Linked DNA regions of Elephas maximus indicus. The protein of the gene in region 2 purifies or fractionates together with the protein of the main gene of each other region. This does not show direct contact. Links are inferred from orthologs where the notes say so. Each region holds a gene or a part of one and is shown on either strand. Other genes may lie near its edges.

Region 1 (6,983 bases), on a different chromosome or scaffold from region 2:
TCAATTGGTCTCAACCCACCTGGAGCAAAGGAGAATGACGACCACCAAACATGCAAGGTAAATAGCAGAATGAAGACCACCAAAGACACAAGGTAAAGATGAGCCCAAGAGACAGAAAGGGCCACATGAACCAGAGACTACTTCAGCCTGGAACCAGAAGAACTAGATGGTATCCGGCTACCACCGATGAATGCCCTGACAGGGCCCTGACAGGGAACACAACTGAGAATCCCTGATGGAGCAGGAGAACAATCGGATGCAGACCTCAGGTTCTCATGAAAAGACTAGACTTAATGGGTCTGACCGAGACTGAAGGGACCCTAAAGGTCATGGTCCCCAGACCCTCTGTTAGCCCAAGACTGGAACCATTCCTGATGCTAACTCTTCAAACAGGGATTGGACTGGACTATAAGATAGAAAACGATACTGGTGAGGAGTGAGCTTCTTAGCTCAAGGAGACACATGAGACTATATGGACAGCTCCTGTCTGGAGGGGAGATGAGAAGGCAGAGGGGGACAGAAGCTGGCTGAATAAAAAAAAAGGCTGAATGGACACAGGGAATATAGGGTGTCTCATTAGGGGGAGAGCAGCTAGGAGTAAACAACAAGGTGTGTAAGTTTTTATATGAGAGACTAACTTGATAAGTAAACTTTCACTTAAAGCACATTAAAAAAAAAAAAGAATAAGCTAGGTGCCTTCTGAAATGAAAGCTCAGCAGCCTCCAACATTACGTGACATTGACCAAATAACTTAAAAAGCCCTTGCAGCAAACACCATCAATAGATGCAGAATCACTGTGTGGACAGGTTCTGGAAGAACAGGATATTCACCATGTCTCCAACATCACCCCACGAAGACTCAATTACAAAGGACTGAATCAAGGATCCTGCAGGGCATCTGGTTTTCATGCTGCCTTACCCTCCTTTAATCTAGAACACTTCCCTAGCCTGTTATGTCTTTGAAGATACTTTTAAGAATTCAGGCCAGTCATCTCACAGACTATCTCATTATCTAAATTTGCTGACGTTAAATATTTTTGCTAAAAACACCACACAGGTGTCACTGTATACTTCTCACTGTGTAAGGCACAGGGGGCACATGTCAAATTACAGACCTTTCTGTCCATAATCTGGGAATACAACCATCATAAGGAGCTATATAAAGGCCATTTAAAGGGACAACTGTGAAAACAAATAGGGACCTTGTACTAGACTATACTGTATCAATGTTAAATTTCTCGGGCTTTCTTAACTAAGGTGGGGGCTACATGCGTTCAGTTTAAAGTTATAAGTTAAACTGTAAATATTTTCTTTTTTTGTTGTATTTCACAATAAAAAGGAAATAAGCCTCTGACCAAAGAATTGCAAATTTTATGAAAGTTCTCTGTAATAACACTTGCTATGGAGATACAACTCTTCTGACTGACCTCACATTTAAACTATGGCTCCAACTGGTCCCTGCTGGCAGGGACCGCCATTTAGCCTGTTAAAAATAAACGAACTGCTTCTAACTCACACAAAAAAGACCAGACTTACTGGTCTGACAGAGACTGAAGAAACCTGTGGACACCCTTTTACCTCAGTACTGAAGTCACTCCTAAGGTTCACCCTTCAACCAAAGATTCGACAAGCCCATAAAACAAAATGAGACTAAACGGGCACACCAGATCAGGGACAAAGACGAGAAGGCAGGAGGGGACAGGAGAGCTGGTAACAGGGTACCCAAAGTAAAGAAGGGGAAGAGCGCGGACAAGTCATGGGGTTGGCAACCAATATCACAAAACAATACGTGTATTAATTATTTAATGACAACTAATTTGCTCTGTAAAGTTCATCTAATGTACAATAAAAAATTAAAAAAACAAATTGCACCTTCTAGGTTAGCTAGCCCTTACTAACGATATTTATAAACACATGGATGTTGGTGACATGCTGTATTACTACCAAAATCCTAAATTTTATTCTGAACACAAATCACAGGCAACACACTTCCTCTTTCTGAATTTGAACTGTTAGATTTCGAGAACTCAGTGATAATTAAGTGTTCATCTCAAAAATCTCATATTCCAGGTCATTCGCCCACCAGTTTCTGTTAACCACTCTTGGTTTTTACAGATTTTACCATAATAAAGTTTAATAATTACGATCCCTTAACCAAAATTTTAAATGAGTCACATTTCGGTCTGTGCGGCTGCAGGGCTCCCCACCGTATTGTTCCTTCGGTGTTATTACTGATGACACTCTTTTCTGCTCCTTCCCTACTCACAACCTGCCGACCCATATTAACTTTCTCCTACCTGAAAAACAGACATTGGAAATTTTGCTACAAATCAAAAGCCCTATGGAAAATCAAGCCACTCTGGATGTGGACGAGATTTCTCACCATTTCATGGAGCAGCACGTTGCCATCCTTAGTCAGCTTGATGTCTCCGGCACCAGAAACAAGCCTGTTCAATGGAAACGAATCAGTGTGATTCCCCCCACCCCCCAAACGGAGAGCAAAGCAAACGTCCCATAAAAGCCGGGCTTTTCCCAGATTCCCGGGGGCCGCGGCTGCGGGGCTGGGTCCCTCCTCCCGGTCTACAGAAAGGCGTACCCCGGCCCCTGAGAACGCGAGCCGGGAGCTCGCTGTGGCTGGAACGTGCGGGGCGAGCGCACGAGGGCAGCTTTGTTCTCCGCGGAAACGGCACCGACAGGAGGAAACGGCCACGCTGGCGGGAGGCCCACGTGGAGGCTCGCAGGCGCAGGTTCGAACCCGGGGCCCGCCTTCCCGCCGCGGCGCGTGGCTCGCGGCCCCAGGCCCGCCCTCCGCCAGCCCCGACTCACATCTTCATGGTGCCCTTGGGCCCCAGGTTGGTCCTCAGCACGTCCTGCAGCCCCCGGGCCGCGCTGATGTTGACCGCCAGCGCCGCCTGGGCTCGGGCCACCTCGGCCTTGGGGTTCAGGGTCTTCACGGCCGCCATGGTGGGCGCAGTAGAGGAAGAAGATAAGACCGGACCACCGGAAACCCCAAGGCCCGCTCAGCGTGGACGGGAGGCAAGATCCGCACCCTTCTGGAAAAGTCGGGCGAGCCCGCTCCTCCCCCAGCGTGCCTGCGCGCCGCCATCATTGGGCCGCCGGTAGGCTGGGCCCGTTCATTGGGTCGCGGGCCTGTGGTCCCGCCTTCCTCTCCACATCCGCATCCGGGTCCTCAGCGCCATTGAGTCCGGGCACAGTGTGGCCCCGGCAGCCCTGGACCCAAAGGGTTCCGCTATGGCGCTGGGCCCGGAGCCTGGGACCTGAGAACAAGGTGGCTGGGTGTGCAGGTTGTCAGTTTGTGGTACTGTGGGTCTTGTGTGTTGCTGTGATGCAACACACATGCTTGACAAAGTAGAGATTCAGTGAAAAAGAGGAAGACCGTCAGCGACATGGATTGACACAGTCGCTGCCATAGTGGGCTGAAGGTAGCAACAATTGTGAGGATGGCACAGGACCGGGCAGTGTTTCGTTCTGTGGTGCATAGGGGTCGCTATGAGTCGGACCTGACTACAGGACACCTAACAACAACAACATATACATGTACATATGTGTGTATATATTTATACCTTGATACATATAACTCACATATCCCATGTGAATTAAATTCTAGAGCAGAAAAAATGTATAGCGACAGCAGATCACTGGTTGCGTGGGGGAGGGTGGGCGGAATGGGGGAATTGACTCCAAAGGGGCACTGTGTTAATTCTCCAGTGCTGCTAAAACAAGTGCCGCAAGTGGGTGGCTTTACAAACAGAAATTTATTCCCTCAGAGTGTAGGAGGCCAGACATCTGAATTCAGAGTGCCAGCTCTAGGAGAAGGCTTTCTCTTTCTGTCATCTCTGGAGGGAGATCTTTGTCACTTCTGAGGTTCTGCTCCTGGGCGATCTTCATGTGGCTTGGCACCTCTCTTCCTCCATCTCTGCTTTTCTTGCTTTTCTTACTGGTTTAATCTCTTTTATATCTCAGAAGAGATTGACTCAAAATACACCCTACTCTTATCCTGTGTCATTAACATAATAAAGACCACCCATTCCCAAATGGGATTATAACCACTGGCATTGAAATGAGGATTCACATCACATGTTTGGGGGGACATAATTCAATTAATAACATTCCATCCTTTGCCCCCCCCAAATTCATGTTCTTGCCACGTGTAAAACACATTCATCCCGTCATACCATACCAAAAGTCTTAAATCAACTCCAAGTCCAAAATCTCATCTTCTGAAGCATCTAAATAAATTCTGGGTGAGATTTTAGGTTTATTCCATCCTGGGACAAAATTCCTCTTCATTGTGAACCTGTGAAATGTAGACTACGAGTTATCTGTTTACAAACTACACTGATGGAACAGGCATGAGGTAGACATTTCCATTACAGATGGGAGAAATTAGAGGGAAAGAAGGGATAACAGGCACCAAGCAAACACAAACCTCAGCAGAACAATTTACATTAGCTCTCAAGGCTTGAGAATAATCCTCCGTTCCTTGGTACCATCTGGGCAATGACCCTGCCCTCCAGACTCTGGGTGTTGGACATGCTCCCTGGATTCTCAGAGGAGGCCGTCCAGACCTGGGCTTTGGCTTCCCCTTCCAGGCCCATTGGGACAGCATCTCTGCTCCCTTGACTTTCGGTGGCCCCATTCTCCTAGTCCATCTTAGTGGTGACCCCACTCCCTCAGTGCTGGTAAGCCCCATTTTTCTGTCACTTGGACATGGCAGACCCACCCCCTCAGCTTTGGGTGGTGGCGCCACCCCCCTGCACGACTTAACAGCAGCCCCATGCTCCAGAACGGAGTTGGCAAAGATTTGACTCTTTGAAACCTAGGAGGCTGTGGCCCCACCTTTGAGATATAGGAGACATGGCCTCACCCTCTGAAACTGAGAAGACCCTACTTCCAGTGCTCCTTCCAGCAGTTCTGCTCCAGGGATGGTCCTTTTCTTTTCGTGGAGGACAACAAATGTACCTTCTTTGGCCTGTTTCCTGCCTGTAGAATTCCAGGTAGCAAAGAGTTTTCTTCCTGGAAGATGGGTATTCTACTGTAGTGGTTGGTTAGATCTAGCAGTCACAGGCTTAATCTCTTTAACAAAAGATTGTGTAGCCCTGTCCTTGGTGAACATTCTTGGACACATGTCCTTAGTTTGTCCTTACTAAGCTAGTGAACAGTTTCACATGGTTTCACCACATCTTTGATGTCCTGAAAAACAGGAGAAAATTGTTCACTACAGATTAGTACGTATGCACAAGTAAGCCCATTCGTACCTTGCTTATTGGGTAATCCAGCCCAGATCTTACTGTAAGCAGCGCGGAGAAACCATACAGCCCTTTTAAGATCTTGCTTAGAAATCTCATCAGCCAGCTGTCCAAGTTCATCACTTTCCACCAAATGTTTGAACATAATTGAGACAAGTTCTTTGCCACTGCATAAAAAGCATCGCCCTTCCTCCAGTGTCCAATCACACGTTCATCATTTTCTTTTAAAGCCTCACCAGGAGCACATTTAACGTCCACATTTCTAGCAACATCCTGTTCCTGCACCGTATGTATTTTCTAAGACGATAGAGATTTCGTCTACAGTTCTCCTCACTTCCTTCTGAGCCTTCATCAGAATTGCTTTTGACGTCCATAACTTCACCAACAGTCTCTTCAAGACAGTCTAGGTTTTTTCTATTAAACTCACTAAGCCAAACCCACAGCTATCAAGTAAATTCCGACTCATAGTGACCCTATAGGACAGAGTAGAACTGCCTCATAGGGTTTCCAAGGCTGTAAATCTTTACAGAAGCAGAGTGCCACATCTTTCTCCCAGGGAGCCACGGGTGGTTTTGAACCACTGACCTTTCCATTAGCAGCCGAGTGCTTTAACCACTAGGGCTGCTTGGCTTTTTCCATTAGGCACCTTAAAACCCAGCCTCTATCCATTGCCCAACTCTAAAACTGCTTCCCTATTTTAGGTATCTGTTGGAGCAACACCCCACTCTTCCAGTACCAAATGTCTTGGGCTGGGATCTCTAAAGGATTAAAGCCAGTGAAGCAAACCACTGAGAATCATGGCCTAACCAAGCTGATGCTTCACCTAAACCATCATACTCCCCAAATCTATATATCTATAAAGGGAGGCATAAGTATATACGTGAAAATATATAAAAAGTATGGGTAGGCCAGAGACTCAAGACTTACTGAGAAGGGTCCAGGGAAACTAGATTACTGGAAATGGAACAACCAGAACAGGAATAATGAGAATGTTGATAGACTGTGAAAAATGCAGCTAATGTCACTGAACAATTTGTGTAGAAAATTGTTAAATGGGAACCTAATATGGTGTGTAAACTTTCAACAAAAATATTTTTTCTAGGGTCTTAAAAGCCTGTGAGCAGGCATCTAAGATACTCTACTGATGTTACCCCATCTAGAGCAAGGAAGAATGAAGAAAACCAAAGGCACAAGGGAAAGATTAGTCCAAAGGACTAATGGACCACAACTACAACAGCCTCCGCCAGACTGAGTTCAGCACAACTAGATGGTGCCTGGCTACCACCACTGACTACTCTCACAGAGATCACAATAGAGGGTCCCAGAAAGACCTGAAGAAAAATGTAGAACAAAATTCTATCTCACAAAAAAAGACCAGACTTACTGTCCCAACAGAGACTGGAGAAACCCTGAGAGTATGGCTCCCAACACCCTTTTAGCTCAGTAATGAGGTCATTCCTGAGGTTCACCCTTCGTCCAAAGATGAGACAGGCCCATAAAACAAAAAGAGGCTAAAGGGGCACACCAGCCCAGGGGCAAGTACTGGAAGACAAGAGGGGACAGGAAAGCTGATGATAGGGAACCCAAGGTTGAGAAGGGAGAGTGTTGACATGTCCTGGGGTTGTTAACCAATGTCATAAAGCAATATGTGTTCAAACTGTTTAATGAGAAGCTAGTTGTTCTGTAAACCTTCATCTAAAGTACAATTAAAAT
Region 2 (7,650 bases):
ACAGATCCTCTACAGTAAGGTTTCTTAACTTGGGGGTGGGGGGGTCCACGAACTTGGATCAGAAAATTATATTTTCATCAATCTCTAGCTGAAATTAAGCATTTCTTTTAATTACAAATGGAGGCAGTCACCCACAGCAGCATTAGCAATATCCGTGACTTTGTCACCAATAGAAATCATTGATTTTTTCATATCACATTATATTTGTGAAATATATTATGAAAAGTTGTTTACCTTCATAACCATTTCAAAATTACAATAACAATTACACTAGATGATACAATTTAATGAGTTAATTTAAAAGCACATATTACTTTATCACCACTTTTCAAAAGTTTTGATAACTATAGTTCAATATAATTGGCTTCCTTTGTAATCCTATATATGTTTACGCATTTGAAAACATCATTCTGAGAAGCAGGCTATAGACTTTAGATCGTCAAAGGTGTCCATGGCACACACATACACAACACACACACACAAAAGCTAAGAACCCTGAACTACAGATAGATGGAGACACAAAAATAATTTGCCTAGAAAAACCCAAAAAAACCAAACCCACTGCCGTCAAGTCAATTCCGACTCCTAGTGACCCTATAGGACAGAGTAGAACTGCCCCGTAGAGTTTCCAAAGAGCACCTGGCAGATTTGAACTGCCGACCCTTGGGTTAGCAGCTGTAGCACTTAACCACTACACCACCAGGGTTTCCATAATATGCCTACATCACATAAATGAGTTCAAATATAAAGCCAAAAAACCAAACCAGTTACTAGCGAGTCGGCTCTGATTCATGACGACCCCACGTTGCCAGACTCCAACCACTAATAGCAGCTGAATGCATTGTTTGTCCCACTCAGGGACTCAGAGTTAAAACACAGTCAACTGCTTATTCTGTTACTACTGGGATTATTAGTTTGCATTTTACTACTAAGGCAACATTGCTTGTGTGCCCAACACAAAGAAGGAGCTCCATACGGTTGCTGAATGGAAGGCCGAATGTGGGGGCAGAGTTCCCAAAACCGAGATTTAACACCAATTATTCCACAGATTCTTTGGTAACCTAACTGTGACTCAGTTTTCCCTCTCTTAGAAATGAGACTATGACTTCTTACCCAAATTAACCCTGGAAATACTTGCAAGAAAAAAATTATCAATTTGTGTGAAAAGACTCATATGCCCTTTGGAAGTCATATTTTACCTCTTTTTTTTTTTAACATGTACCCTTAACAATAGTTCTAGTGGTCTTAATTTTAATAATCTGGTTTCCACACCAGGGCTTTAAATTCCTTTTCCAGCTCTGCCATCCACTATGCTCCATAAGGAATAAAAATCACCAGAGAAAAGGAAATAAAGCTATGTCTTGCTCCCGATTCTCCGTTTTCTGTGGCCAGTGGGTGGGCTTCGAGATCAGTTTGTACTCCTTGAGATTTGTAAATTGTTCACGTGCAATATCTGAGCAAAGTCCATTGTTTTCAACGTTTTCTCAAAGGGGACTCCCAAGTAGTTACGACCTACTCTAAAGAAACAGATGTGCTCCTGAAAAACTACACACAAAAGAAATATAAACATTTCAAATGCTTTCTACAAGACCATCACATGTAAAAAGAAACCTCCTTCCTACAACAAACTGTGGGTCAGAAATACAACTGCCCTGTGCAATGCCCCACAGCTAATCAAGGGACCAGACAGGACCTGACCCTAGACAGCGTGACTTTTTCCCTCTGCGCCATGCCTGTCACTCTCCACATAATTTTAGTTTTCTGGTGTTCATGGTTTAAGCGGGAGCTCTGGCTCTAAATATCAACAGCCAAGGCTTTCAGTTGCTCTGATCACTATCAATCACAACTTTTACTCTGATACAATAAAAGGAAGAGCTTAAAGAATAAAGGAAAGAAAATTCCTTATTCAACAACTTCAGAAAATAAACGTATGCTGCACTGCCAGCGTAAAAGCTTCCCCTACTACCAACGCTTCTATGAAGGACTCTCAAATTGATGGATGCCCAGAAAGACTTACTACTCAAGGTTACACATCTGTATTAGCAGGAAAGGAGCCAAGGAAAGATAAGGCAAAGTGTCATCCTTCTCTATTTAGGAAACAATGACGGGATCATGGCCATGGGCCAAGACTTTCAAAAAGACATCGCTTTGGAAGGAATGGCTATCAGGCAGCAATAGCGATGGCACTCCTGGCAGAAGGGCCAGGGGAACCATGAATAGTATCTGGGGATGGGAGTGGGGGGAGGGGGAAGTCTGTGCCAGAAGTGAAGGGCTACCAACTCTAATGCCTGCATTTTCCCTCACAGCCATTAATTCCTCCCACCCCCGCCCCCCAAACTGAAGCAATGCGGCAGGAGGGGAGGCGGTTGAAAAAGATAAACGGTGTAGCCTTGGCGTGGAAGCTCGGGTTTCAGATCTGTTTCGGCCATGAAATAGCTGCCTAGCTCAGCAAGTCACGATATTGTGCTTCAGTTTCCCCATCAGTAAAACGGAGGTAACTACACTCCCGACTACACGGGAATCTGCCAGGATTAAATGAGACAACGAGTGCAAAACCCTCAGCACCGGGCAAGACACACAGGAACCGCTCCAGGACGCCAAGGCAAGTCCGCAGGAGGGCTCTGGGGTCTGGGCTCCGGCCCGGAAAGGGCGCTCCCGGGGCCCGCTCCCCGCCAGCTGGGCTCCGAGCCCCTGCCCGGCCCACCTTGTTGTTGTACTCCTCCACGAAGCTGCCCAGCGCCAGGCGAAAGCGCTTGTCGGGCCGCACGCTCCAGTTCATGGCGTAGACCGTCCAGGGCGCTTCATACTTGTAGATCTCCTTCCGTTTGCCGTGCAGGGACATGGTGGCGGCGGCTGGGCCGCAGTGCGGGCCGGGTCCGCAGTCGGAGGCAGCGGGCGGGGCGCGAGTTGGGCGGGGAGCCGAGCCTGGGACCGAGGGGTCTGAAGGGAGGCGGGGCAGGCAGGGACAGCCTAGCCCGGAAGCGGGGCCGCGGCGACAGACAACGGCGGCCTGGCCCGACCCCCACTTTCAAACCAGCTTCGGCACCGACAAAAACCACCTTCCGTTTGGGACACCGCCCCGCCCACTCGGAACGGAAGCCACGCGACCCGCGCAGCGTCGCCGGCCGTTGGCTGCCTGACACGTCCTTTCGAACAGTTCCTTCGCCTGATTGGTTATTGTGCCCGGAGGTTTTGACACCTCCTCACTACGTCACTCCAATTTCTCGCCCCTCCCAATCATGGGGCGGGGCTTTCGCAGACCCGAAGGCCATTGGCTGGTACAAATGTCAGTCCGAGAGATAACGGTGCACTGCTGGTGAATGGGGGCGTGGGTGATATAGAGTTCAACGTGCCGGGCAGCAGGTCTCCAAGTTCTAGGTCAAGTCTCTGAGAATGAAACCTCTTGCGTGACCTGCTCTGACCTCCCCTCTGCTGCTTCTATTCTGAGCGGCCTCCCCAAGCTGTCGAGTAAAATTAAAATTCTGCAATAATGGGGGGGCCTTGCGGCCAGGCAGCTTGGCCCGCGCCAAACAGGAGTCACCCTCCCTTCCCACTCGTCCCAACGCCCCTTTGAACCCGGGCAGCGTTTTCCCAGTGTCTAAAGGAAAGGCCTCCGGCACGCCTTTTGCAGACCGACCGATGGCTTAGTTAGGACCACGCCGGGTTCAGTGAGGCCTGCCTGCGCTTTCCTGCAATTCCAGAAAAATCTCCGAATTGAATTCTCCGGTTGGTCCTCAATTAGCAGCAACGTGACCAGCTTGGCTCTAAGCTTCTGTCTATGCCCATCCCTTCCCCGCAGCGCATCCCAAGGCGTATGTCAATCAAGCCTTAAATTTATCTGCGCTGTGAGTTTGAAATGGAGAAAATGCAGGTCTCGAATCTGGGTAACAACTTTTTATACTTTACATGGTTTCCAATTCTTTGCTTTCAACAAAATTGAAGGATTGTAGTGGATTGTTAGATGATATCATTAAATATAATTTTTAATGGTCGATGTGATTTTTAACAGACAACTTGGAAAGAATTGAAAGAATTAAGTGACGTTTTAATAAATCCCTTCCAGTCCCATCTTATTTGTGTGAGCAAGTTTTCTCTGTGCTTAAGTTTAATAAAAAAAAGAAAAATACAAACAAAACTGTTGCTGAACTTTGTCTTATCCTCTTAAAAAATGATATTCATCCACAGATAAATGAACTAACTAATTGGGGGAAAAAATCCCCATGCAATCTCTTTAAGAGGTGCATTTCCAATAAAATGTTAATTTTTATAAAAATGTGAATATATATTTGTTGTTTTAAACAACTCGGTACTACTAATAAAGCCTTAGTAAGTTTACAAAATTTAATTTTAAAATTTCAGTTTATATACATATTTGTGTTGCAAGCAGATATGATAGGATGCTCAATAATAGACTTTGAAGCATGAAAATAAATTACATGGTGCATAAAATGGGGATGGTGGCTAGAATGGAATTACGAGTTTGAAGAGAAAAAGGAATGATGTTGAAGAAGGTTTGTTCTTGTGTCTTTAAAATGGCCCATGGTGGCTCTCAAGTCACTAAGCTATTTGGATGCAAATGGATCAATATAAATGAGGGACAAAACAGTACAGTTGTGTCAATATTTACAACCCAATGGAAATTACATCCTTTGCGACAATTTAAACTTACCAATGAAACAATTCAGATGTCAACTTCAAAAGATGTCAGATTTCCTTTAGAGAATATTTGTGCAAAATAACTGAAGACCAGTGATGAGGACCTTTTTGAACAATAGCCCTTTGCAGCTAACTGCACAGGCTGTCAGGCCAGACTATCTGGGTTGAAATTGTTTTGTTAAAAAATTTAGGTGCCATCAAGTTGATTTTCTACTCATAACGACCCCATGTGACATAGTAGGACAGCCTGGTGGCACAGTGGTTAAAGTGCTCGGCCCCTGAAAGGTCAGTAGTTTGAACTCACTAGCTGCTCTTCAGGAGAAAAATGTGGCAGTCTTCTTCGGTAAAGATTACAGCCTTGGAAACCCTATGAGGCAGTTGTACTCTGTCCTGCAGGGTGGCTATGAGTTGGAATCAACTCGACAGCAACAGGTTTGTTATTGTTGTTAATCTTTATAAGAGCAGATCACCAAGTCTTTCTCCCGTGGAGCAGATGGGTTGGTTCAAACTGCCAACTTTTCAATTAGCAGCTGAGCACTTAACTACTGTGCCACCAGGGCTGCTGCTCCTTGGGTTGAAGTTATGTCCTCCTTTTCCTACTGTGTTGGGCAAGATTCTTTTTATTTTTTAATTGAAGTATAATTTACACATAGAAGTGTACATATTTTTTAACGACATGAACACACATTCATGTAACCAGCACCCAGATCAAGAAACAGAACAACATCAGCACCCAGAAGTCCCCCTCATACTCAGGTAAGTTTCTGATTACTGATTCCACATCTCTAAAATGGGAATAATTATACTGACCCCATAAGGTTGTTGGGAGAATTAGATGAATGAATATCTTCAGAGCAGTCAGCGTGGTGCCCAGCACGGGGTGAGTGCCACGGGAGTGTTGGCTGTTGTCATGATTCCAGATGGCCACCAAGCCAGCACCTCTCTGCTTCCCTTCGCCCTAGCCTGGCTATGCTCCAAGGGCTCCTGGGCTCAGCGGAGCCACCTTCAGGTCCCCAACATGGTAGATTTGGAGGATGAACCCCCAGCTCTTTGTGAGAAGGGCTTGGGGAAAACCACAGATGTTGGAGTCATGGCACAGTCAAGGACCTGATGACCCTCAGGTAAGTTTACATACCTGGCTAAACAGGAAATGTGCCGAATTTATTAACTGTGTGGCACTCCACTGCCCAGAAGGGGCCCAAAGGTCATCACAGAACTGTTAGGGGTGAAGCAGCTGAGGGCTGGAGCTCTGTGAATTGGCATGTCTACCACAGAGGGCACCTTCACCTCCAGCTGGGTCAGAGGCTCTCGGCAGGAGGCCTGATCGATCCTGGGCCGTGGTTGCTGGGCCACGTACAGGGGCTGTTTCTGAGTTGAGGGATAATCCTGCCGAGCCCAGAGCAAGACTCTCACACAGATCAGAAACTTCTCTTTACCTCACTGACCCCTCACTCCTGTAAGTTACCTGCACATCAGAGTCACTCCCCCTCCCAATCCTTCACCAGGCTTGCTGTCTAAACAGAGCCCTGGGGGAGGGTGGGAAAAGTCCAGAGTCTCTTCACCGTGCCCTTTTGGGTCACCTGGGTTACCAGTATGAACCTACTCTAGGGGAATGATTTTCAGAGGCCCATTTTGGAGGCTGTCTGCCTCCCTGAGGATCCTCAACTCTCACCCACCTTCAGTCCTCTCATGGTGTCTTTTATCTTGGGATTCAGTAGCTTTAACACCCTGCAAATCCAGGATCTGAGCCATATCTCTGGAACTCCAGCTGCTTGGGGACAGAGCCAAGGTGTTCAGGGAGGGAGGGGAAGCGGGGACCACAGACAAGTCCCTGTCCGTCTGTGTCCCACAGAGGTGAGGCCAAGGGTGACAGGAGCCCCTGGGGCTGCTCCTGTTCCAAGGATGGTGTCAGGGGGTTGTCCATTGCCACGACCAGGTGATGCATCCTGGAGGAGGCATTCCTGTGCGTCAGCCTACATTGGTCCAAGTCACCACAGCCTGGGGTCTGGGAGGGGCAAGAAAGAGGCATGCAGTGTGAAGAGCCTCCCAGGCCAGGCTATGGGTTAAGCCACCCCAACTTCAGGGGTGGGGGCTGGCTGGAGGTGTGCCTGCTCCTTCACAGCACAGGGTCCTGTTACCTTTGCCCCAGCTGGGGGTCTGTGGTCACTTTCTGGACTTTGCCGCTGCCCCGTCCAGGCTGCCCTGTCATGGTTCAAGCCATAAAGGGGGACAACAGAAGCCACAGCTGCTCTAGGAGCACAGAGGCCCTGAGCCTGAAGCCACATTGGAACGAGTTGGGGGTGTGGGAAAGCAAGCAGCTACCTCCAGGAAAGCCCCTGGGGGTCCCTCACCTGCTCACCTGTGCAGGAGGCAGATGGCCCTGGGCCAGCCTGGGACCTGGTCTTGGAGTTGCTGAGGTCACAGGAAACAAGGCCAGGTCCTTGGAGGCAGGGGCTCCCAGGATATAGCTGGGGTGGCCCTGTGGCAGAGGCTGCTGAAGGAGCTTCAGGATGTGACTGAGGTCTGAGGCCATGCGGAACTCTAGCCTGCCAGACGGAGCCCCGCAGTCAGGGTCAGGGTCAGGGTCAGGGTGGGGGAGAGCAGTTCAGGGCTTGAGGCCAGCTCTCAGTTTGGGGTTATGGCAGCTTGGGGCCTACTCGAAGCCATTTCCCACTGGGATCTGCAGCCTTTGCCCAAACTCCGCTTAGCATGTCCCTGACTCTGGTAACAACAATGAACAGGCCCCATGCACACATTGTTCAGTCCTCATAGTGACATTTTGACATGGCTATTCTGATTATCCCCATTTCACAAAAGAGCAAACTGAGGCTCCAAGTGGTTAAGTAACTTGCCCATACTCTAGCTGGTGCGCTGCAGAGCCAGAATTTGAACTCAAGACCATCCTGCTCCAAATTCCCACCATCCACAGGCCATGCCCTTTTCCAAGGGCCCATGGAATTTATGTTTCTGCACATGATTGCGGCCCCACCCCCC

Evidence for each region. The genes of interacting proteins can lie anywhere in the genome.
Region 1: the proteins of DCAF7 (region 2) and CCT6A purify together in Homo sapiens (affinity purification with mass spectrometry; 3 studies listed by BioGRID and IntAct, counting the BioPlex papers as one, with this or other methods). This does not show direct contact. The link is inferred for Elephas maximus indicus from reciprocal best matches to the Homo sapiens genes DCAF7 and CCT6A.

Annotation. Positions count from the first base shown.
Region 1 is NC_064830.1:103,112,686-103,119,668, reverse strand, and holds the start of CCT6A (T-complex protein 1 subunit zeta), read right to left. Parts: upstream 3,075-6,983; 5' UTR 2,964-3,074; coding exon 2,827-2,963; intron 2,448-2,826; coding exon 2,384-2,447; intron 1-2,383. UniProt on the Homo sapiens protein: Component of the chaperonin-containing T-complex (TRiC), a molecular chaperone complex that assists the folding of actin, tubulin and other proteins upon ATP hydrolysis.
Region 2 is NC_064837.1:54,787,389-54,795,038, reverse strand, and holds the start of DCAF7 (DDB1- and CUL4-associated factor 7), read right to left. Parts: upstream 3,072-7,650; 5' UTR 2,843-3,071; coding exon 2,705-2,842; intron 1-2,704. Other genes in the region: KCNH6 (potassium voltage-gated channel subfamily H member 6), read right to left, coding at 6,377-6,661, 7,016-7,202. UniProt on the Homo sapiens protein: Involved in craniofacial development. Acts upstream of the EDN1 pathway and is required for formation of the upper jaw equivalent, the palatoquadrate. The activity required for EDN1 pathway function differs between the first and second arches.